Linked DNA regions of Tribolium castaneum. The protein of the gene in region 1 interacts with the protein of each later gene in a biochemical or structural test. Links are inferred from orthologs where the notes say so. Each region holds a gene or a part of one and is shown in the gene's direction. Other genes may lie near its edges.

What was found.
Region 2: the proteins of Cdc27 (region 1) and APC4 form a complex in vitro, tested with the Homo sapiens proteins (2 studies listed by BioGRID). The link is inferred for Tribolium castaneum from reciprocal best matches to the Homo sapiens genes CDC27 and ANAPC4.

The regions. Positions count from the first base shown.
Region 1 is NC_087394.1:14,531,256-14,544,085, reverse strand, and holds the start of Cdc27 (cell division cycle protein 27 homolog), read left to right. Parts: upstream 1-6,552; 5' UTR 6,553-6,733; coding exon 6,734-6,757; intron 6,758-6,817; coding exon 6,818-6,893; intron 6,894-6,948; coding exon 6,949-7,096; intron 7,097-12,603; coding exon 12,604-12,830. Other genes in the region: mitochondrial cardiolipin hydrolase, read left to right, coding at 1,199-1,625, 1,677-1,918; zinc finger CCCH domain-containing protein 15 homolog, read right to left, coding at 2,037-2,207, 3,032-3,262, 3,319-3,573, 5,596-5,831, 5,879-6,080, 6,152-6,223. UniProt on the Homo sapiens protein: Component of the anaphase promoting complex/cyclosome (APC/C), a cell cycle-regulated E3 ubiquitin ligase that controls progression through mitosis and the G1 phase of the cell cycle.
Region 2 is NC_087400.1:318,055-330,912, forward strand, and holds APC4 (anaphase-promoting complex subunit 4), read left to right. Parts: upstream 1-5,215; 5' UTR 5,216-5,321; coding exon 5,322-5,433; intron 5,434-5,478; coding exon 5,479-5,607; intron 5,608-5,668; coding exon 5,669-5,829; intron 5,830-5,875; coding exon 5,876-6,595; intron 6,596-7,050; coding exon 7,051-8,127; 3' UTR 8,128-8,133; coding exon of another isoform or gene 8,134-8,223; 3' UTR 8,224-8,273; coding exon of another isoform or gene 8,274-8,417; 3' UTR 8,418-8,484; downstream 8,485-12,858. Other genes in the region: 8-oxo-dGDP phosphatase NUDT18, read left to right, coding at 1-78, 127-318; WD and tetratricopeptide repeats protein 1, read left to right, coding at 776-978, 1,024-1,135, 1,182-1,375, 1,422-1,602, 1,653-1,946, 1,993-2,102, 2,158-2,516, 2,566-2,762 and 1 more; CstF64 (cleavage stimulation factor subunit 2 tau variant), read right to left, coding at 3,414-3,664, 3,714-3,802, 3,858-3,887, 3,936-4,065, 4,122-4,305, 4,355-4,778, 4,824-4,902, 4,953-5,004; uncharacterized protein LOC659212, read right to left, coding at 8,134-8,223, 8,274-8,417, 9,860-10,062, 10,148-10,261, 10,311-10,330, 10,487-10,569, 10,623-10,766, 10,813-11,012. UniProt on the Homo sapiens protein: Component of the anaphase promoting complex/cyclosome (APC/C), a cell cycle-regulated E3 ubiquitin ligase that controls progression through mitosis and the G1 phase of the cell cycle.

The DNA.
Region 1 (12,830 bases):
CTTTTTTTATTTGCGAAATTTCGTCAAATATATATAAGTCAAACCAAACTGAGTCTAAAAGGGAGTTAATTTGCGTTTCTCGGAATGTTTATGCCGAGGTTTATATGCAGTTTTTTTACTCAGACATTTAATTTTTTCGTGAAATATGTCAACAATTTCCCTAGTTCCAGGGTCTTACTACACTTTTTATCTAGTGACAAAAGTTTCTAATTATTTGGAGGAATTTTATCAAAATAAACAACCATGAATTAGTTTGAAAATGGTGCTTTTTGTTTATTTAAAGGCTGCTGCATTACTCTAAGAAAACAATTATTTCTCTTTTTCTAAACTGAAAATTGCTTTTAGGTATCGTATTTTATGGATTCGAAAATAAATTGCGTTTAAGTTTGTTAGTCTGTAGTTTATTTTAACTTCTTTCTTTCTACCAAATGTTGATTTTGTCTCCTTTTTCTAAAGCGTATGTTTCTCTCGACTTATCTTTAGTCCAGGTCTGCCATCGAGTAAAATTATTAATTACAGCATATTTTAATGCTTATAGCAACAGTTATAGCTGTGGTTACAGAAATTTAATTAAGGTACATATTAAATGCCCAATATTTTATTTAAATGACAAGTATTTTTGTTCAGCAAAAATGATACATACCCAGTAAAAATAATAAATGTGCAGTAAATAATAGTATTTCAAAACTGGAGAGTCTATATTCCCACATTTCGAGTTCTACGCTTTCGAGTTTAATCGTTTGAGGGGTATGTTTCCTTTTAGTTTGCTTGGGCAAAGCCCCAGCCTGCAGGCTACCAACTGTACGTCGCTGTAGCTCCATAAAAATTATGATTCCACGACGTGTTCGAGAGGTGTCATCTATTAGTTCGCTGGGGCCCCAGGCTAGCTACTGAGCGTTTATTTAAACTGTGCAAACTAAAATTATATGCTTGGTTTTTAACTGTGCAAAATATTATATTATACCGATCACTGTTTTTTACTGTGCAAAAATTAATTAAATATTGAGCATTTATTATTTTTTACTGATTAAAATCGGATTTATTACTGATCGCTTTATTTTTACGTTTCTACCTATTTAATTATAATTGGTGCAACAAAGCGCCAAAATTTAAACTGAAATTGCCTTGGGCTTTACGGTGCGCGTGCGCAAACCCGACCTAACCTAAAATATTTTCTGTTGTGCTTCAACAATTCAAAATGCATAGAATGTGGAACCGGGCTTTTTTTGCACTCGGTGCAACTGTTCTTCCAATGATTTTGAATTACTTAATCAAACGAAGACATAAATTTAAACTGAAAAAGTTACGAGATGAAAAGTGGGACCAGGACAGTAGCTATTACCACTGTATTTTTTTCACGATGAAAAACGTGATGTGTTCAAGTCATTTTAATACACATACAGCATGTGAAGATAATTGTTCAGTCACACATTTAAATACGCTGTTACGGTTCCTAGGATCAGCAAAATACTCCATATCTTTGTGCATGTATATGGTCACATTGAAGCAAGTTACTGACGAGCTAATTAAAGCCGAAGATCGCGGTGTGAAAGTTAGAATAATCACAGACCACGTTATGTACAAAATGGAACGTTCTAAAACTAAATTGCTGAAAGAACGATACGGTAATTCGAAATTTTTCAAATATTTTTCCGGAAAAATAATCAAAATTGTAGGTTTTGAGGTTCGGACGCCCCCTTATCAAGACTCCTTGATGCATCACAAATACTGCCTTGTCGATGCTGAGGATCCAAACTTGCAGAAAATGTTCCTAGGATCACTGAATTTAACAGTTCAAGGGTGTCTCAAAAACTTTGAATTCGTATGCATCACAAATAATTCAACGATGATTAAAAGGTATAATGAAGAGTTTGAATCACTTTGGACCACGTTCGAAAACTCAGACATTTTTCTTTAGAGATGTTTATTCAAAATAAAATTAACAAATACATTATTTTTTTAAACCGTTGATCTCTGGTGTGCATTACGAGTTTAGTAATGAAATTAAATTCCAACAATGCTAAATATTAGCACCCTTATTCTTCTAAATCTAAGTCGTTTAGTTCTTCATCTAAAGCTTCTAAATCCTCCTCAAGGAACAAATTTTCATTGATGGGTACTGCAGATGCACCTTCTTCACCATTTTCTGTTACTTTTGAGCTTGTCTTCAGCCGGTCTTCAGAGGCCACAGTTCCAGTCCCGTCAACCTAAAATAATTAAAAAGTGAAATTATTGGACGCTAAACAAAAACGTAATCAAGAGTTCTGTGGAAATTTCAAAATGTCAAATGTGTATATTTTTCAAAACGCTGCGAAAACGGTTACAGATGCAAGAAAAATGTTAGGAAGAAAGTCGTGGAGAATTATTGGAATAGTATATTATACGAGTTTTATAAGACGTTCTATTAAAGCTCGAATGGTTTTGGAGCACGACGAAGGAGTGCTCCATTAGAATGAGTGCCACAATTAAGTCTTATAAAACGAGTGTAATATACTATTTTTTCTACTTTTTATTTTTGTTTAGTTTAACTTATCAAAATCTGTTCAAACTATTTCCCCTTAATTTTGTTAATTAATTCGGGCTTTATCAATAAACGACTTGTCGCTGTTGACAGATTACACACTAAATTAAGTGATGACTGATGACACCCAGCCCAGCACTGCCAATACAACTCCTACAAAGTTACTAAAAGGAGTTGCATAAAAGTTCTTTTTGTGAAACAAAAAAATTTTACAATGAACAATTTGTGAAACCAAAGTGGAAAAAATCATTTGTTATCTAAACCGTTGAAAATATTATTTAGAAATATAGTGTCGCGGACTTTTTTGTAGAAAATTCAATTCTCTACAACTTTGTTCCTTATACTTTTTTGTATCTTCAACCGTATTCAAATTGATAGTTCAAAGTGGTAATTCTTTGCGCACTGTCGCATATTTATCAAAACGCGTTTTTATAGTTTTGAAACAGTTAATACACGTTTATAAAATCTACAGAGCACGCTTGACTCAGGACAGTTTATTTTTCAACTTACCTCTTCGGCACTAATTAGATCTAAATTGATTTCTTTATAATCCGCTTCATCATCTTCGGTGTCTGAATAATTGTAAGAATCAAACGCTTCATCGCCTTCATCCATGTTATTCTGCGCCGCCAATTCAGGATTAAAACTAAACATTTCTCTACCACTAAGTCCGACTTGTTTGCCTGCCTTAAAGTCGGTTCGTTTTTTGTCTTCATCCCGTTTTGCGGCGTCTTTTTTTTCCTAAATTCAAATAAATGTGTTAGAATTGTTTTAGCACCTCCGTAAATAAAACAAACCTGAATTTTACGTTTTTTCCACGCTAAAAATGTCTCTAACGTGACTTTAGTTTGAGTAGAACCTAGTGCTGCTCTTTCCTTTTCAATTAGATCTTCCAGTGATATTTCATCACGTTTGTCGTCTTTTTTCTTATCTTTCTTTAACGTGAAACCTGGTGGGAGAGCGTGTCTGTAAATACAGCTTTCTCCAGAGGGACATTGCCAGAACCAGCCATACTTTGATTTTTCTACAGCTTCCAAGAAATGTTTACAAATCTGAAATTAGACAATTACACACTTTAAAAACAGTCGTGATCGCAATAGAATTTGATCAACAATAAAAATAAAATATTTTTGAAACAGTTTCCTTGGAAATAATTCTCACTATTGACACATCTAGAAATTGTGATTTTTTATAATTTTGTTTTGTTGGAAACATTTTAAGCCTTCTTTTTAATATCTAAATCCTAGATTATAAACACCATTTTAAAACGTGTTTTCATTATTTTAAAACAGGTTTCCCATAGCAACGTGTTTTAAATTTAAATGTTCCAACAAAAAAATCTTAATAACACTTATGCGAAAACGCTTAAAGTTCTCGGGTGTCTAGGTATGTAACTCGCATACGCTCGTTGCATAACGACAGCCCTCGAACTTTAAGTTTGTGTTTTCGCACTCGTATTATTATTAATAATTATTTTAATTAAAAAAGCTGTTAAAGACTGACAATTTTAAATTAAAATAATTATTCATCATCGTGTTAGGGAACGATTATTTAATGTGAAAGATAAAGACATTAAAAAATAATGAAAACTGAAGTTAACAAAATGAGTTTAAAGCTGTAGATTTTTGATATGACATTGGAATTTTTTCAAAATTTTTTCCCCAACCTACACTTGAGCATCCTGTAGTTTGTCCATTATCCAAATAGGCTTTTGCTAAAATATTTTGAAAAAAAAACTGTCAGTAAATTACATATTTTTTTTTAATGGCCACATATTTTTCAAACTTAAAAAGCAATCTTTTTTTCGATATTTTTTGGCAAAAATACACTTAATACAGGTAACCAACATTTAAAAAAAAAATAAACGTACCTATGTTTTTTGCGAAAAGGTATATGTTATAAACAATTTTATAAAAAAATAAACATTAACTTTAGTCTCTGCCAACAGTACTAAAGACAATCCAATTTATTTTTCGAAATTTTCGACATTATGTGGTTATATTATAATCAACGTATATTCCCTGATATGTACTTCCGAAACTGTTCGTTTCGTCAATTATGTTTAGTTGGTTTAGTATCGTCTAAGAATAAACAAAATATATACAAATATGTAATAATCTCTTTGGAACATTTAACGCATAAATTTGAATGAAAATAAGTTTTTTACAATTCTCTTATACAAAAATACACATAATCGTAAATTGGGTTAAAAACTATTGCAACCAATAGATTTTCATTAGAGTAATATTTCGTTCCACCTAACTGACGTTTAAAAAGCGCTTCAATTTACCCTCAAAAAATTAAAAACGTTTTAGGAATTTTTAAGATTTACATGCAAAAAATCACATTTTGCTTTTAATAGTCTGTGAAATAAAATAAAAAGTAATGAAACCCCGCTCCGGCTCTAGGTATAGAGTTTTATAATAAGAAAATCATAATTAACAAAGTATGAGTACAAGGTAATGTTGTGAGCTTGAAAAGTGTCAATGAGTTTTACTTTCAAAGCTATGTCTTTTCAGGAATAAATTAACTAGTAGTTTTCGGAATTTTCTCTATTACGTTAATTTCACAATTAAGCATCAAAACTTTAAAACTACTCTGCCTAGGCACCACAAACAGTGTAAGAAATTTTATAATTTAAGAAAACTTCGTCTGAGTCAGTGGCGCCCCCAATGGTAAATTTATTTCGAATGTTTCAATTTATGTCGGTATAGTAAATTTCTTTACACATTAGGTAACCATCTACATAAATAAAAACATTGCCGAGAATATTTTTTTCGTAAAAAACTGGTTGTAAAAATATTTAACGCAAAACAATTGTTCAAAATTTCAACTTCAACAGTTAACTGACGTAATTATGCCAATGAAATTTGTAGAGGACTCTACCACGTTTTTTTTAGACTTACAAAATCTACAGGTGATTATGAAAGACTGTGTTTCTTGTCGTCAAGTTGGTTACAAACTTGAAATCATATGTTGACAACATTAACTATCAAAATTATCAGGAATACCAATAACTCAATGTTACCAATACATTTTTGACACACCCGGTACAATTTGTAACTAAACCTTACAATGTCAGTAGTGGGCATTTTCCCCGTCTTTCCATGTTTCTTCTCTATCACTTCAAACAGCTTTTGCTCATCCCAGTTTTCCATAGTTTCTTCTTCATCATCTCTCATATCCACATACAGCGACCTTTTCTCCGCCTTCCGCTCTATACTCAAATCATGGGAAAATTTGCACTTATCACCTTTGCCGCACTGGCCCTGTTTGAAGAACGAACAAACCACAGACTTGGGATCAGTCCCTGTAAAAACTTGGTAAAAATGGAGCAATAAAAAGTGAACAAACAACCTTTCTCGACTTTCTGCGTTTGCACGGTCTTAAATAAAATAGCCATTTCCTTCTGTTCCTTCAACTTCTTCTCCTTTTCCGCTTTCTTCCCCCCATCTTCTTTAACAGGATGGTGACCCCCAGTTTTAACTTGTTTCTCGACTTGCTGTATGAATTTCTGCTGCTTGGCCCCTTTTTTATTTTTCAAACCGAAAGTCTTGTCCTAATAATTAGTTGAAAATTTGCACATTAGAATTAAATATAGAGATAAATAAAAAATCATTACATATGTACCTCAATCACTTTTTCTTTCTTTTTCTGTTCAGTTTTCTTACTGGGTGCTGCCGGTTTGGCCTTCGGTGGCATTTTTTACAGTTCTAATTGAGAGAATTAAATAATCTTGATAATTTTTTCAAAGAAAACGAAAAATATTTCGCTTTCGGAAGTTCCACATGCACAGTGACAGGTCGGGGATTTGACAGACAATTTTGACGGAAAAATAATTCACGGCTCCAACCTGACAAAAAAGTGTAGAAAAAATCGATTTACCAATAAAATTTTACATTGGTACGAGATGCCTTAAACAGTTACAGTCTTTTTGGAAAAATAGCAAAAAAGTCAATTTTTCTTGTATTTATTTTTTACAAGCGATTTTCCACTCTTTGGTTGGTTTTGTGCGGTTGGCTGCCTTTGTTTATAAATTGAATTGATCGAAGTAAAATGGCCGTTGATTTTGCGTTTGTGATCATATGTCAAACAAATCAAAAATAGTGTTGAATTAAGAAGTGTTGCATTTATTTTAATCATTTGTATGCATAACCAATGTTTAGGCTTCAATTCAACTGTAATCAATGAAGTGAAACTCTGAGGTAAAAAATGATTGTACAGGAACCAGTGCAGGTAATGTAGTTAACCTCTTCCAAATATCGAAATTATCTAAGGCCCATTTTTTGGTTTCAGGCTGCCATTTGGCATTGTTTGAATCATTATGACTACACTGATGCTGTATTCTTGTCAGAGCGATTATATGCTGAAGGTAGATACGCCTTTGCTTGCAAAAAACTGTTTTTTATAAAATCGCTTGATTTCAGTCAAATCTGATGATAGTCTGTACCTCTTGGCCACAGCTTATTACAGAAGCGGCCAAAAAGACCACGCATACCACATTTTGAAGGAAAGGACAGATGCTTCAACACAGTGCAGATATTTGCTTGGGATTTGTGCTTATGATCTTGAAAAGTAAGTTTGATAATGCCTCATAATTACATAAGTTGCACAAATGAAAACTGGCATTGAAGTTGGAATTTCTCTAATAAGAATGACTTTGGCAATTGGAATTGGGCCGCTGATAATACAAAGAGGTCATAAATCAATATAAAAATACAAGTCTTGTTTACTAACATTGTAAGAACACTAAGTCTAGTTCAGGGTTAATAGAAAGTGGAACACAATTGGTTGCTACCTTTTTAATTGTATTGAGTCTTAAGTCACAAGAGAATAATATTTGGTAATAGATGGTGGTCTAAATTATGTACATTAAAGTTAATTGTTTAAAAATATTTCAACTTTGTTAACACTTTTATGAACGCGAGAATTTATTTATTGAAAATTCAACACCACTATTTTTATTAGGTTTATTTTGTTTTTTATTATCAACATATTTCTATTGCAATTTTCGTAAAAATCTGTACTACTTAAGTGTTAACTGCGCTATAGTCGATTTTTTTTTAATTAAGGTTGGTGTAATTTTTTACCTGACAAATTCAATTTCCAAATTTTTCAAGTTGTCTCCAATTTAAAACACGTACAACAACACATTTACTTATTTTAGACCACCTTTACACTAACGAATTAACGCTAACGTCCAATTTTCAAAAATGTCAAATCTGGTGTTCAAAATGTGAAATACAGAATATAGCCAGTTTTAAAAGTGGTTGGACATGAACTTTTAGGATCATATAGTCTGGTCTTTATCAGAATTTTGACACTGACAGTTGATTATAAAACAGTGAACTATACTTATAATTAATTTTATAAAGGAAACAACATATATTACTAAATAGCAACATAATAATAAAGCACTTAACACAAATTCAACGGGATGAAATAATTGCAAACAATTTATTACAGTAAATAAAGGGCCCAAAATTCAAATAAGTTGTTTTACAAGAAGCATAAAAAACTGCATAAAACTCATTCAAAACTTTTATTCTTATATCTTCACATAAGGTGCTACTGATCTAACGAATGTTTAGATATGGTAGTGGAATGAGTTATAGAATTTTAAACATACTTTTTCCAACAAATGAATTTTTCCAAGTTAACTAGCTGGACCCTTTGGACTTCAATTGTTATTATTTTCAGTTTTCTATTATGAAAATACATATTATGATTGTTTGGTTTCCGATAATGCGTATACAGCTGTAATATGACTCCTTTTTAAAAGCTTTATTTAACTTGCTTTGCTGTCTGTTCTATATTTCCTATAAAAAGCTTTGGGAGAGGTCAATTAAACAAAGCAAAAATTCGGTAATGCCGTAGTGTTATGAGTTACGACTATGACACTCCTAAAGCTTTTATAATTTTTAGAATCTAATCTGTTACTAAAAATATATTCTCCTGTGATAACTAAACATCATTTATTACTTTTTAGTGCTTCTTTTAAGTAAATGCTCTTTTTAAAAACGTTTTTTAAATTATACAGAGTGTCTCAAAATTGGTGAATTCCGAAGATTCGGAGCTTCCCCACAAAGATACATTGGTTTAAAGATTAATCTTTGAACTGCGATTTCTTCAAATCCAAGCTAAAAGTTTCAGTGTTTATTCTTATTTATTAATCATTTAAAACAATTTCTCAAAAAATATTTTCCACAATCATCTGGATCATAAACAACAATCAACACTGAAATTTTTAGCCTGCATTTAAAGAAAACGCAAAATAAAGTGCACCTGAAGTGTTTCTTCCAACCAATGTAACTTTGTGGGAAGCCTCGAATTTTTATTTTGTTTCTACATTTAAACTACTGTGATTCTCTACAACACTCTGATCTCGGAATTCGCCAATTTTGAGACACCCCGTATATTTTTTGAATATAGTAGTTGTAAAAATCACTTGTAATTCGGATCTGTTAATAGTATTTCAGAAAAAGTAAGATGTAATTCATATTTTACTTTTTTCAGTTGTAAGTAGGTTTTTAAGAAAAGTTCAAGTGAAATTCAGTGTACCAATTTTAAAACGAAGCTTTTACGTAAGCTAAACTAAGAAATGCACTGATAATTAAGAACATAGCTTTGATGTTTTGTATTTTAAATTTTAAACCCAAAATATTTAAAATTTTATTTCTGAATTACAATTAACGTTTCCTTAAATACAGTTTACTATATCCCATTTCAGTTCATAGTAGAATTGCAACAGTGCATTTGAATTTTTTGGTGTGAAAAATAAAGCACAAATTGAGAGATTCTGTATAAGAAAAGAATTCTGTGTTAAAATAAATCCCAGTGACACGTTTTGATCTAAGAAAACCCACCAGAAACTCTAAATTTTGCTCCATTTGACTCCAAAAAAAATGTAAATGCGTTGTTGTAAAATTGTACTGTGAACGAAAATGGGATATAATCTGAATTATAACTGCCTTTTTCAGAAATATACTTGACTCTTTCTGAAACATAGTTGAAAAAGGTGTATAGAAAGCTGAATAAAATTTTAATTCTTTGTTAATAGTTAGTGCACTAGAAAACGTAAGCTGTATTTTGGATGTCCGAATAGGCGATCTCCAAAACTAAGAGGTTTAGAGAAAAACGAGTGAAACATTCCGTTTTTTGAGAGAATAATTTTGGTCAAAACCGCATCCCGCTATCGTCTTTTGTTGTCGACTTATAAAAAGAAGTGGACATTTTAGCGAAATCTTAAAAAATCATATCTTCCTTATTATAAAAGATACACATTTGAAACAAAAACATTATACAGGCATTTTTTTTCAGAGAATTTAATAATGTTATCAGCGATTTTTTTAATCATTCGTTCAGCTGTAATAACATAGTTGTATTTTTTTAAATGAGAATCATAGTTGGCTATGACATTTTCGAAAAGCTAATTTTTTTCTGAACTCAAAACAATATAAATATAGTTTGATATTTTTATATATTTTTGATAAAAATATATTTAAAATATTTGAAAGTAGTCGGCCATGGAAAAATTATTTCACATAAAAGGTATGAATAATCTAGAAATTTTGTGAACGTTTATTAAAGTAAAAAATGTGATTATAAAAATAAGCTGTGTTAAAGTTATTTTCATTTAAACAAATATACGAGCGTCGCGGATTTTAATTACATAAGAAATGTGCAGAAAATTTCAAACAATGTATCACTACCATTTGATGCCACTTTTTTATGATTTAGTAAAGTGCAAAGGAGGTGACGTTAATAATGTTGTGTATTTTTTTTACCGCAGATGGAATTTGATTTTGGTGTTTGGATTGATATTTTTTTGTAAAATAAAATTTTATTGATAAGCAATCATACAATTAATAAGATTTTTCTTCTTCCGACATTTCATGTTTACAATAGGAAAATAGAATGACAACGTAAGCTTGCCATTTTAAATATAAAAACAAATAATTTTTATTAATTGCAAAAATTTGATCTAATAAAAATTTATTGTGCTGTTTTTGAATTAATTAGTGTTTAAAAAAATCATTAAATTATAAATACTTGTTGGGTAATACAATTTTCATAGTTTTAATTAAAAATCCAAAATTTTTTCATGGCCTACTATAAAGAAAAAGCGAAATGTTTTGTTTTTTCTTAAATATTTAAAATTAATGTATTACACAAATAGACATATCAGATCAGAAAAAAATTAGCTTTTCGAAAATATCATAAAAACTTTATGTTATTACAGTTAAACGAATAGTTGAAAAAAATTGCTGATAACATTATTAGATTCTCTGAAAAAAAATGTCTTTGTTTTAAATGTGTATCTTTTATATTAAGGAAGATATGATTTTTTTTTATAAACATAAGTGTTTAAAAGTCGAAAACAAAAAAAGATAGCGAAATTATTTTCTCAAAAAACTGACTCGAAAATATGTCACTGGTTTTTCTCTATACCTCTTAGGAGATCCCGTATTCGAACATCCAACATGCAGCACCCTGTACAACATACAGCGGGTAATTTTTAACTGGAATAAAATTCATAACTTTGATTTAGGCGATTTTGGTGAAATTCCCGAACAGATCAATTTTTATTTTTTCTTGCCCACTATTTGATGCATATGGTTTTTGTTATCTGTTGTCAGAAATGCACAGCCGCCTCTAACCTTTTTTTTCAAATGTAACGGTATGTCAACTGACACCTCGTATGAAAGCTCTTCTCGCAAGCATTACAACGCACTATTTGTTTTTTGAATTTTTTCAAAGCCTACGTGATAAAAAAAATAAGAACCAATTTTTATAAGTTGAACATTATTTGATTTGATTGTTCAAAATGGGCACCGTTCCTCTCTTGGGAAATAACATGACGATAGTAGCATGAATTTCTAACATTTCTAGTGTGATTTTCCTAATTTTAATTTATAAAAATTGATTTTCATTTTTTATCGCGCAGGCCTTGAAAATATTCAGAAAACAAAGAGTGGGTTGTATTCCTTGCAAAGTGCTCTTTCACATGAGGTGACACTTGACATAACCGTTACATTTGAAAAAAAAAGTGTTAGAGGTGGCTGGGCATTTTTGAAAACAGATAAACAAAAACCGCACCAAATGATGTGCAAAGAAAATCAAAAATCGACCTGTGTCAGGATTTTTTTACAAAAATCGCTTGTATCCAAGTTACAAATTTTATTTTAGTCAATATTTCCACACTACTTTAATTTTTTATCACTTGGGCATTGACAATATTTAGAAAGCAAATAATGCGTTGTACTGCTTTCGAAGTGCTCTTTTACATGAGGTGTCACACGACATACCGTTACATTTGAGAAAAAAAGTTGGAGGTGGCTGTGAGGTTTTGACAGCAGATAAATAAAAACCATATCGACTAAATGATGGGCAAGAAAAAACAAAAAGCACCTGTTTCTGAAATTTTTACAAAAATTGCCTATATCCTAGTTATGAATTTTATTTCAGTTAAAAATTCCACACTGTATAAACTGTGGTAAATTAACGACAATTTTTATATATGTTTTTTACAAAACAACAATAATTACATACTGTTTATTTCAGAATGTCATTAGAAATAATAATAAAAAAATTACCTAAATAATATTTGTATTGAAGTATTATTTAATTGTACACTCTTATTTCTGAGATTATTTATGTAACCAACTAATAGGTTATATCTTATATCAAATTCACCGTTAATTAAAATTGTGCACTTTTTAGTAGGAAATTTAATTCGCTTCAACGTTTTTGATGAACTTTCTTTGTTTTTTTGTTTTCTTAATCCTCTTCTCAGCATTTTGAAAAATATGGGACAAGTCAAAATTTTTTTAATTTTTAATAAGTATTATTATTTATTAATTATTACGCTCAATGTTACTGCGTTTTTTCCAGGCAGTTTAACGTTCGATGTGCCCTAATTTTTACTCTACCGCACTAATTTTTTAGATACAGAAGATCATTTATTTAGTATTTAGTCTTCGTAACCTTCTATTATTTATAAACACAATCATTTTTTCACAATGTTGTAACAGTTATCGTTACTTAATTTTAGCATAGCTTCAATAATGTTTTTTTTACAGATATGCTGAGGCCGAGGCAGCTTTGTTACACTCCAATAAGAGCAGCAATGACTCCGAGAATTTCGACGACATCACATCAGAATACGGTGATCAAGCACCATTCGCTTTATCTTTATTAGGTAACATAGCTGCCAAAACCGAAAGAAAACCTCGTGCCATAGATGCATGGAAACGAGCCTTAAAACTAAATCCATTTCAATGGTCAAGCTTCGAAAATTTATGCAAAA
Region 2 (12,858 bases), on another chromosome or scaffold:
CATTCGACTTTGAAGCGCTTTATGGTGGATTTGTTCGGGGCTGACGTGGGGCCCCACAGGCCACATGGGTTGCTTTCGGTGGGTTTATTGAATTTTTAGAGTGTGGAGGTTGAAAGGGGGTTGTAGGTGGAGTATGACCCGCGCGACCGTAAAGACGGGGCTTGTTTGACGCTGCTAGTGGCGTTTAGGCCCCCTTTGGAGGAGGTCCCCATCATTGGCAAGTGTGTCTGGCATGAGGCCTCCAAGGAGCTGGGGGAGAGGCTCCTGGCCAAGGTGGCCTCCAAGAACTCCACCATTCCGATCCATGTTATTTGTTGAAGGTGCTACGAGTACTAACCGGGCAGTATTGTGGTTAAGGAACGAGTAAATTATTGTTGCGGATTAACTGTTTATTATAGTTTTGTATTTTATTATTGTTTGTGCATGTTATTGTAATAAATTATTATTTATACGACAAATCAAATAAAATCTACAAAATAAACGGTTGTCTTTTTTGTTTGAACTTTTTCGCGACTTGAATTTTGTAAAATCTGGGGATTTTCGTTTTGTGCGGTTGTGCTTCACGCTGTCCATGACCTCCATAAACAAAAACAAATGAGTGTATCTTTTGACATCTTTCAAAAAAGCAATTAAGGCCTCAATCGTCACGTAAAGCCGTAATTTTATGATGAAATTTTCGAAAAATTTGTATTTATGATGCCCGATTTGCTAAAGCAAAGGTGAGTCCTGTTGACCTTGCAGCAAACATTGATCCTGATAGCGACTCTTCAATCAGATGGAAAACAAAATAAAAGGATGGAAAAGCAACCGTAACGTGTTAAAGTTGATGCAATGCCGGGAACTGAACAGCACCGCAGCAAAAGTCCTCAAACAGCGCACCCAATTCAGCGCCAATTTCATCCAGAGGTTAGGACTCGAGGCGGAGCTTGAGGGGCACCAGGGCTGCGTCAACTGCCTGGAATGGAGCCCCAACGGACTGTAAGTGCCTTTAGCCCCTTGCAGCAACTGACCGTTCACTCGCAGGCACCTGGCGTCCGGCTCCGACGACACCAACGTCATCCTCTGGGACCCCTTCAGACACAAGCAAATAAACGTGATCCCGACCCCACACATTGGCAATATCTTTTCCGTTAAAGTAAACAACCCGATCATTTTGGCACCGAATCTGAGCGTTTTTGCAGTTTTTAGCCGACGAAAATGTCATCGCGACGGCGGCCGGGGATTGCCGAGTGGTGGTCCAGAGCGTGTCGGGGGCCCTCGACAAGAGCGCCCCCTTGCTGGACTGCGCGTGCCACATCGGCCGGGTCAAACGCCTGGCCACGGCCCCCGACCAGCCTACTCTGTTCTGGTCAGCGGGCGAAGATGGCCTAGTTGTGTAAGGCAACTGTTTTGCCCAACCAAACACCTTAACTCACTTGCAGGCAATACGACTTGCGGGAACCCCACGAGTGTCCCACGCAAAGCAAGGTCTTAGTCGACCTAAGCTTCAAATCGGAAATCAAATGCATTGCTGTGAATCCCACAAAATCGCACTATATCGCAATAGGCGCCAACGACTGCTTCGTGCGCTTGTATGACAGGAGGATGATCAAAGTATCAATGGTAAAATAGGTAAAATGTTGGGGAAAAACTTGCATTTTTTGGGTTTTCAGGCGAATTTGTCGTTTAATCCGTCGAAGAGGACGTCCCCGCAGCCCCAAAACAGCGACTGTGTGCAATACTACGCCCCCGGGCACCTGGCACGCGAAAATGCCGGCATTATGAGCATCAAACTATCAGTCACTTATATCGCGTTCAATTCCGCCGGTTCAGAAATGTTGGTAAATATCGGGGGTGAACAGATTTATTTATTTGATGTAAATAATAGCCGACACATTAACGAACTCAAAATCCCCCAAAACTTACCTAAACGGCCCCATCAACCCTACCGGAATTGTTGCCAACCGGTAATTATCCCCCCAGTCACTACTAGGAAAATGCAATTTTTTTTAGAACGTACTGTTGGCTGAACTTAACGGGGTCAGCGCCGACTTGTTTGAGAAAAACACGGACTGTGCCTGCTTTTACATGAGGCGGGCGCTACAGGCGTACCAACGCAAGTGGTATTGAGACAAATAGCCAAAAAAAAAGGCTTGTTAATTTTTTTTTTCTTGTTAGGATGGGCGATTTGTATGCGGCAGCACGTGATTATTTACACGTGATTCAGCATTGGCCGGACCATAAACAGGCTTACATTGGATTAATCAAATGCCTAATTGCCATGAAGTGGGAAGACGAAGCCAACGCTTGGTTGAAACACTTTACAAAACTTTACCCCGAATGTGAAACCTCCTCGCAGGTGAAATTCCTCGTTGAGGAGTTGCAAGCGCTCAAAAACAGCGTCAAGTTTGAGGAGACGGGAGTGAAGAAGGTGGAAGATGATGAGAAAAAGTTACGTTTGGATTCGTTCGATTTTGAGAAGATTTACATAGGGCATTGTAATACCACGACTGATATCAAGGAGGCGAATTTTTTAGGTTGTTTGTGGTGGTTGTAGAGTGTTGGTTTTTTCACGGCGGCTTTCAGGTGATTGTGATAATTATATTTGTGCAGGATCGGACGAAGGGATCATTTTTATCTGGGATAAGAAGAGTATGAATGTGGTTAGGGCTCTCTTTGGAGATAACTCGATAGTTAATTGCATTCAACCACACCCTAGTGCCTGTGTTATAGCGTCCAGCGGGATTGATACGGCCGTTAAAATATGGTCGCCTCGGCCTGAGGTAAGCACAATTGCTGGTCTCACTTTGAAATTAAGTTGGCCACTCTACATTACGGCTTTTTTTTAATTCGATAAAGGTTCCAAAAAAAAGGCTAGTATGATTTTTCGAAAACGGATAACTTAGTCACTTGATCGGAAATTTTTCTCCGAAATATAGTAACTTTTTTCTATTAATTTTATTAATGTTGGAGTTTCCGTTGTCGTTTATTTAGGACGGCAAAGTGAACAACCGAATCGTCAAATGCATCTCCACTGTAGTCGAAACAAATCAGCATCGCATGTCAATGGACCCATTCGAATCAATGTTGGCGAGCATGGGTTACCAGATCGAAGGAAGCGCTTTAGACGGATCGTCCATTCAAGAAGTACCAACGTGCCGAACTAGCTAATTTTTTAACAAAACCATTACAACCAGATTTGTAACTGAAAGTTGCAAACGAATAAATCCACCTCTTGTTTACAATTTAATCGTAAACAACCGAAGGAATCGCTCATTTATTTTGTACTTTCTAGAGGGTGCGTTTTTGTTGTTGATTTTTAAATGATATATACACAATACTGTAAATAGTGTTTATGTTAATAATTTTAAAGATTTTTTAATTATCATGTAAACTGTAAAAATTAAACTGATTTGGGGAAATGACTTAATTAATCAACGGTGTGCACTTTTGGCGATTTGTTCCTTCAAAACTAGAATACTATTACGCTGTTCAGGTGGCAGCATTGCAATCTGCTCATCTGACAATTGCAGGACTTGCATAATCAGGGCCGCCTTTTCCTGGTCTGAGGCCCCAGCTGTACCTATACTTGAAGCAACATTGGCAGCTTGGCGAACTTGGGGGGTACTGGGGGGCCCCTGCGGGGCTCTGACCGGCTGCGGAGGCATCGCGTTTTGCTGAGGGGCTAAAATCAGACTTTCAACAACCAATTCAATTACGTACTTCACACATACGCATATTTTTCTGTCTTGGGTCAGCTCGCTGTTGTTGTCTCGGATCAGATGGGAAGTTGGCCGGACCTCCACGTGGGTCCCTATTAAAGCTAAGAAAAAGTATCAGTAAATTGTATTTCTAATCAATTGTAAATGGTTATTTACCTTTCCAATTTCTGATCCTGCTTAGTGAAACTGTTTAAATTTGAGTAAAAGGGCTCAAGGTTGAATTATTTTACTTACTTTTCGACAAGTGGCGGCGGAAGGGGGTTGGGGAGTTGTCCGGGCAAAGTGCGCATGTCCTGGTCGCCCAGGCGGCTGAGGCGAGGATCAGCCCCTCGGGGGTCCAGTGATCTTAGATCAACGTCTTGACCTGCAATAACGCAAACATTATTATTATTTATAATCAATTGTGATAAAAAAAATCACCTGTGAAGACCGGATTGGAATTATTATGAATCGCGGGGGCTGGCACCGGCTGAAAGTCCTGTCTTGGGGGCTGCACAGGCGTGGGATTCGAGACATAATTACTGTTAATCGGAATGGGGCCTGGATTAGTCTTTTCCTTGGGCGTCAAAGACGAAGGAACGGGATTTTGCGGATGCAACATTGTCTAAAACCCCCCAATAAAATATAAATACGCCCCCAAACCCCCAACTCACAGCCGCCGTATGCGGGTCAATAATCCTCATAACCACCTGCGCCTGCAGCAGAGCGTACGCCAACTGGGGGTTCTGCAGCAGCATCTGCCTGGCCTCAGTGGGGTTGTTCTGAATGCAGAGCTTCATCTGCTTCATCAACTCGAACATCTGCTCGGGGGGCAACGAGGCCACGGCTTTGCTGATGGCCTCGGGGGCCTTCTCGGCCTGAATCGGCTCGCCGTAGGGGTTCTCGACCGGGGGCTGGTTCAGCAAGTTTTGCATCTCCATGCGCGATTTCTCGGTACAGGCGTTGTCGACCCGGAGGTTGCGCCCCCCGATCTCGTACCCGTTGAGGTTGCGCATGGCGCTGAGCGCCGTCTCCTGGTCGCGGTACTCGCAGAAGCCGTAGCCTTTGGGCTTGCCTGTCTCGCGGTCGAAAACCAACCTAAAATTCAGGCGTTAGGGGGCTTCAGGGGGCAGGGCAACGTACTTGAATGACAGGACCTGGCCTACTTCGCCGAAAATGTCTTTGAGCTTCTCTTCGGTGGCTTCGTAGGGGATGTTGCCCACTGGAAGCAATGGGGTTATAATTATCACTTAAAATTTAAATAATTTGTACCAAAGACCGAACGCATTGACTTGTCCATGATATTTGCTTCTAAATTATCCATGGTGATTGTTTAATTCCAACTTGGAACGAAGTAATCAAGACACCTGGGACACCAATTTCAACAAACGGTCAGCGTTACCAACCCTCTACCTTTTAAAAAAGTACAAAATTATGCATTTTAAAGCCAACAATAACAAAAATGTTGGTTTATCTATTGTGGTTACAACCCTAAAGTGAATCGTAACGCCTGACTAGGCCTGTTTGTGCACATTTGGCTAAATAAAGCAAATCGGGTCCAGACGCACAGTTGGTACCCATGACAGAATTAAACGTAACCTTACAATTTGAAAATTGTTTTTTGTTACTAATTGTTGGAAAATGAGCACAGTTCAGGCGATTAAACAGCTCGAAGAGCGCAATGTGGCCAGTGAGATTGTTCAAATGGTGTGGAGCGACCGTATGGACCTTGTCGCTCTTGCCAATATCAAAGGTAACCCCCATTTGCAGTAACCGGCATTTTTGGGTGTCTTTGTAGGAGAGGTGGCTCTTCATCGACTCACTTGGACCAAAGCGTGGAGTCTCAGTGCCCCCAAGGATGGGTTAAAGGTCACAAGTATTGCCTGGAGGCCTGACGGCAAAATCATAGCAATTGCGTACAGTTCTGGTAAAATATTGTAAAAAAAGTATTGGAAATAATTTAAATCCATTGTTTTGTGCAATTTCAGGCCAAATACTGCTTGTGAAGGTCGAGAATAAGTCGGTGTTGCACACTATTGACATCAAGGGCGAAGTTTCATGTCTCAATTGGTTGCAAGACCGGACTGTTAAAGGGAAACTGCCTTCAGTTGACGAAGACAGTAAACAGAATCAGTACATGAAACACATTGTAAAAAAACCCGAATGTTAGTGCTCGTTTAATTTCCCAGTTGTAGGACTTATCGGGTAATTTTTTGCCCGAACCGGTGCTACAACAGTTCGATTCCCCCAACAACGACGATGGTCAGAAAACCAACATTTTGCAAGAGCAAACCGACTTTAATTTGCTCCTGATTGGGACAAGTGAGGGCACCGTGCACGTGCGAGTTTTCGGTTGTTTCCCGTGCGCTTCCCTTGACTTGAAGCAAACTCTCAACTGTCTTTGCTCCATCCAGAACATGCATTTGAACGAGGACCTGAACCGCATGTTTTTCACAGTGCGAGACAACGAAAACAACGTTAAATTGATTTGTTTCGATTCGGAAATTTTCAAAACGCACACAAACGAACTGTTCGCTTTGGCCCTCAAACACATAAAATTGACCTCACTGGTGACCTATCTCTCCAACACTATTACCACCATCACCGAGTCCTGGGAGAGCATTTTGCTGGAGATGGACAACAAGTTGTCGAAATATGCGAGCAAGGTGCCAGAAGGGGGCGTCACGGCTGATTTTTTGGATTTGCTGACGTTTGGAATTTGCTCGGATGAGATGAAGACCTTTCTCATACACGATTTAACGAAGAAAGGGTTGGAGAAGTTCGGGCAGACGATTGAGATGAGTTATTCCAACATTCAGAAGTTGATGCTGAAGTATGTGATGAAGTTTGGGCAGAATGTTACCTATCACTTGGCCGAAATGAGGGGGATGGCAAGACTGGAACACCGCTATAAGGTTGGTACAAGTGTGTGGTGGCTGCCAACTCAACAAAAAAATTAAAATTTAATTTTGTGTGAACTTGGCAAGAAAAACCATCAAAAATGCACAAAAATGGAAAAATCACATTTAGTTCGATAATTTCAAAGTCTGAGAAATAGTTAAAAAACAGGCGTATTTTAGACGAAATTTTACGCAACAAGCTACATTGAGTGAAACAAACAAATATCAATCAGGTTTGCTTTGAAACGAATATAGTGTCTGATTTTTTAAACGAACAAAATACTATCTGGCAAAATAAATAAATATTTAGTTTAAAATCGAGCAAATACTACGTGAAAAAAGTCCAAAATATTCGGGGAAACCCCTGACGGCTTTAAAACGCCTTTTTCGGCTTTTCGCTCCCACGTTTAGGACGCGTTTCAATTGAAAAGAAGTTATTAGTGTAAAAAATGGTGATTGGGTGATTGTAGGTTTTGGGTTTGGACGCGGCCGCCATTACCGGCGCCATTTCCTCGAACGGCGCCTTCTTGATCAAAGGCAGCGAAATGCAGCAAATCATCAATCACTCCATCATCAATTACAAGGCCTTCTTCCGCTGGCTCTACACGGCAATAATGCACGTTCTGGATGAGCCAATACCGAACGAAATCCCCAAAATGACTCAGCAAGACCTGGCTTACATCACCGAATTTTTGCAAAACTTTGACCACATCAGTCGGAATAACAAACAAAAGGGGTTCATTATGGAGCGGTTGGGGCAATATTTAAGCGATGGCAATTTGACGATCCAACCAGACATGTCCGGGAACGAATGGACTGATTTTTTGGCCCAGAACCAATGCATCGAAAAAAATAGTTCCATTTTGAGGCACTTCAAAGAGATGTCGCTGATACAACAGTACAAGCATTTGAAGCAAAGCGTCGATGCGATTTTCGCGACACCTAGAGAGCAAATTAGTAGGCAGTTCAGTCATTTGAATGACTTCAATTGTTTCCAATTTTGCGGCGATTCGTTACGGACGTCCCAAGTCAACTTAAACAAAGAATCGATTCTTTTTTGTTACTTGCAGCCGCCTGAGACCGTTCTAGGCCTGCAGGTGTATCTAGACGATGGCAATTGTTTCATAAAGTGTGCGCGTCTGTACTTCCCCCGTGACAATTCCGAGGATAATTATCACGTGATCGATATTAAACTATATTCGAGTGCAGTATTGTCGGTTTTATTGCAAGAAAACACCGTTTCTAAAGCTACAGTTTTAAGTCAGATACCGATAGGTGGCGTTTTGGACAAGTTTGTGGATGGGGGGGAGACAGATCGTGTTTTTAGTGGTGCGGTTAACGTGGTTAGTTTGAACGGTTCGTGTTTGGTTCCGAAGCTGTTTAAGTGTGTGGAGGGGATGGTGGGGGCGGAGTTTGCAGTGTCGGGGAGTCGACGTGTCGGTATCGTATTGGCGGAAAATCGGAGGAAGGTGCGCTTGTATGAAATGGAGGGGGAGGAAGAGGAGGAGGAAGATGCGGAGATGAACAATAGTGGGGTACAAGAATGACTTTATTTACATTCTAAGGACTAAAGTTTCGTATTCGGGACAAGCGATTTCTTCGCCGCCGTATGCTATGTAGCAGACACCATGGCTGGGGTGTATCTGGAAAATAAATGATCAAGGGTTAAAATTTATAAGGGTGAGTTAAGTACTTTGCCAATTGTTTGGGAGCCTTCGTGGTAGGCGCGGCCTATGTAAAGGGGCTCCCCTTCGCTGGTGTGCCCCCCTTGGACCGCCCCTGGTGGCAAGTGGCCGGCGTGCGATTGTACCCACTCGAAGTATTGTTTACATAAAACCTGAAAATTTTAAAAAATAAATAAATTCGTTTTCCTTATTAATTAACCTTGCAAGGTGGAAGAAAAATTGTTTTCTTTTAGTTTTTGTACAGATACAAAAAATTAAATAACGAGATTATAAAACAAAATATAAAAGGGCTTTATTTTCCCATATTCAACAAAAAAAATTCATAGCTCAAAAACTAAATGTCGTAGAGCAAAACGGTTTGTTCCAATGAACTCAGCGGCTCATTTTCTGAATTATACCAACGTTTAACGAGATCTAAAGTTTTAAAATTTTTTGCTAAAAATTAAGATAGTTGTTTCTTATAGTGGAAAATTTTATTCAACCAAAAAATTTATAACTCGAAAACTAAAAGTCGTAGAGCAAAACCGTTTGTTGCAGTGAATTCTGCTGCTTAAATTGCTTAGAATACTAGCCTTTTCACAACACTAGCTTACTCGAGAAATTTAAAAAAATATATATTTTAATTTTAAAATTGGTGGATGCGCCGGGTTATTTATTAAAAAATTCATAACTCGAAAACTAAAAGTCGAGGAGCAATGCGGTTTGTTCCATTGAATTCAGCGGCTCATTTTCTGTATTATACCAACTTTTCACGAGATCTAAAATTTTCAATTTTTTTGCTAAAATTACCTTCAAAGTGGTGAAAAAAAATTTTTTTTAAACTCACTCCAGTAAATTTTTATGGACTTTTACATGTCTTAACAACCCACAAAAGTTGTTAAAAGTCCACAAAAAGTCCATATGTTCGATTTTTTGATGTTTGATTTTTTCAATTTTCGTCGCAAATTTTGTCGATTTTCGGTACCCGGAACTTTTGTCAAGCAATAGCTCCGGAACTTTTAGAGATAACCCTACGAAGTGTATTATCGTTGGAAAGCTCTTTATATTATCTATTTTTTTCAAAAAAAATTATTGTTCTCCGACTAATAGTTTTCGAGCAAATTGGAGATAAATGCAAAAATTAGTAAAATTTTAAAAAATTCATAACTAAAAAACTATTGGGAATTTGGCAATTTTCTCGATGCCAATCGATTCCCCGGATCATTTTGTATAGGTATGGAACAAAATAGTTCCACTTTCTGGAATAGTTTAGCCGTGAATGAGAATTTTTGCTAAAATTTTCTGAGTAATAATAATACACTTTCTTCCAAAAACGTGAAAAAAATATTTTTTTTACAAACCCATTCTAGCATAGTTTTATGGACTTTTCTATGCCTTTACATCCCTCTGGAGTTGTTAAAAGTCCAAAAAAAGTCCATATGTTCGAAAAAAAAATCTCAAGAATATGCATATGCATATAATGGCCGAAAAATAGAACTGTTGCCTGTGACATTTAGTCACAATATTTGTCACTTTTGCGGATAAAAATGCTTGTTTTACTTTAAAAAAAAGTTACAAGGGGATAAATATCAAATAGAAACACCCAGTATATTACTTGGAAATTTTCAACGAGGTGTTCCTGTCCGTTGTGAGAGACATAGGCGGCGTTTTTGCCGGGAATCACTTTGGCAGGGATCAAGTCACCTTCATGGTAGGCTCTACCAACGTAAATGGGATGCCCATCCCCATCCATGCCCCCTTGGAGGGCCGTCGGTGGCACTGACCCATAGGCGATGGAACTGTCAACCCAACGAAACGCTGGAAGTGAATTTCATAGTAAGTGTTATATTTATTGCTCCGTCTTGGTAATAAAGTCCGGTAAACCCCCCAAACTGGTCCTTACCTTGATTATGAAAACTGGTATTTTGAGATTGAGGGTAAAAATTTTGATTCGGGGGATATTGAGGGTAATTAAAGGGTGCGGAAAGGGAAAATTCCGGTCTAAAACCATAGCCTCCTACAACCCATTTTCCGAAAACAAGGAAAATCAGAAAAACGGTACTCACCTTCCATTGTGTTAAACTGTTACCAGTTCGCAGAACGCTAATAAATCTCATTATCTTATCATTAATAAATATCACGAGATTTGTTAGAGCTAAAAGAACAACAAACTCTTGAAGTCTAGAAGGTTTTTATTTACTTATAAAACAAATAATACGAGGTGCAAACACACAATTAAGGCCGCAGTATCAAAATCTCGTACTCCGTAAATCTCAACTCTTTCCCATCAAACGGAATCAAACAACATTTGTAACTGGGGTGCACCTAAAAACCCAAATATTTATTTTTGCTCCAAGTAAACAAAAATAGACACCTACTTTACCGACAGTATGCGAGCCCTCATGTTCCACTCTGCCAATATACAGGGGTTCCCCATCGACGGTTCTCCCACCTTCAACTGCCCCTTCGGGGATTTTGTCTTCGGTGGTTTTCACCCAATCGAAACGTTGCTCGCATAAAACCTATCAAAAAATTAATTTAAATTGACAATGTCGCCAACTTAAATACTTGAAAACGGTCCACGGTGTATTCCTTGCCGTTGTAAGCCACATAAGCCTTTCTTCGGCCCGGAATCACTTTTGCCGGAATCCAGTCGTTTTTGAAGTAGGCTCTGCCCACGTAAATTTGGTGGCCGTCGATGTCTTCACCGCCCCACAAAGCTGTCGAGGGGACTCCCCCGTTTGTGAAAGTGTCCACCCAATAGTAGGCTAGGGAAATTTTATTATATGAATTCCGTCGTTTCAGATGTTTATCAAATTTCTGCCTCCAAGGCTGACTTGATTCTATTTTAGAGCAATAAATTATAAAAATTGTAATTAAATAACGGTTAGCACAAGGCGAATAAAAAAATACACGCAGATAGAGCATCAAATTCTCAATAATCGGAGATAAAAATAGTGTAAAAATCATGACTTAAACTATATTTAAAAAAATTTCAAAGTTTTACCAATTTGCACTCTGCCCCATATTTTTCAAAACGCTGCGAATACAGTTACAGATACAAGAAAAATGTTCAGAGGAAAGTTGTAGAGAATTAAATTTCCTTTAATAAAGTCCCCGAGACCATATCCTTATCTTCAACCATTTAGGCCCCAAAGACATTCAAAGACGCTCAAGTGTCGGATTTCCTTCATTTTGCCGGTGGTCAAATATTTATTCAACAAAAAAATTCATTACTCGAAAACTAAAAGTCGTAGAGCAATGCGGTTTGTTCGGTTGAATTCTACGGCTCATTTTACATAATATATAAATTTTTCACAAGAATTACAAATTTAAAAATTTTTGCCTAAATTTAGGGTAGCCATTTGTCAAATAAAGAAAGAAAATAAAAAAAATAAAAAAAAGTTAACACCCCCCCCTTAAAATCGGTCAATTTTTAAAGTGTCTCTAAATCAAATAAAACCGATTCTATCTTATAGATTTTGATGTGCTCTTTCCGATCTAAAAAAGCGTTTTTTCCTAACTCTTTTAGTTTGGCCGTAATCGGCGTTTGAAAATTGAAAAATTTTTTGCGAGATATAGCCTTGAGTCCTATGCCATTTTGTAGAGTTTTTTATTCCGGTTGTCCTCCATTTTTCCGTTTCTCGATAACTCTAATAGTTTCGCCGTAATTGGCGGTTGAAAATTGAAAAAAAGTGAAAATGGAAACCTTTTTTGCGTTTTTCTCGGAAACTGTAAGACTTAGAGCAACAAACAAAAAAATATCTGATAGCGCTTAATTTTAGCTATTTTTTCGACCAAACCCGGAGCCGCTCCGGGCAACGGTTCCGGCTACAGAGGCGATCAAAGTTTTTCACTAAAAAAATTCATAAAAAAAAAACTAAAAGTCGTAGAGCAATGCGGTTTGTTCGGTTGAATTCTACGGCTCATTTTACATAATATATCAATTTTTCACAAGAATTAAAAATTTAAAAATTTTTGCCTAAATTTAGGGTTGCCATTTGTCATAGTGACAAATTTTATTCATTAAAAAAATTCATAACTCGAAAACTAAAAGTCGTAGAGCAATGCGGTTTGTTCCATTGAATTCAGCGGCTCATTTTCTGTATTATACCAACTTTTCACGAGATTTAAAATTTTCAATTTTTTGCTAAAATTTCACCTTCAAAGAGGTGAAAAAAATTTTTTTTAAACTCACTCCAGTAAATTTTTATGGACTTCTACATGTCTTAACAACCCACAAATGTTGTTAAAAGTCCACAAAAAGTCCATATGTTCGATTTTTTGATGTTTGATTTTTCAATTTTCCTCGCAAATTTTGTCGATTTTGGGTACCCGGAACATTTCTCGAGCAATAGCTCCGGAACTATTAGAGATAACCCCATAAAGTGTATTATCGTTGGAAAGCTCTTTAAATTAAAAAAATTATTGTTCTCCGACTAATAGTTTTCGAGCAAATTGCTGATAAATGCAAAAATTGGGAAAATTTTAAAAAATTCATAACTAAAAAACTATTGGGAATTTGGCAATTTTCTCGATGCCAATCGATTCCCCGGATCATTTTGCATAGGCATGAATCAAAATAGTTCCACTTTTTAGAATAGTTTAGACGTA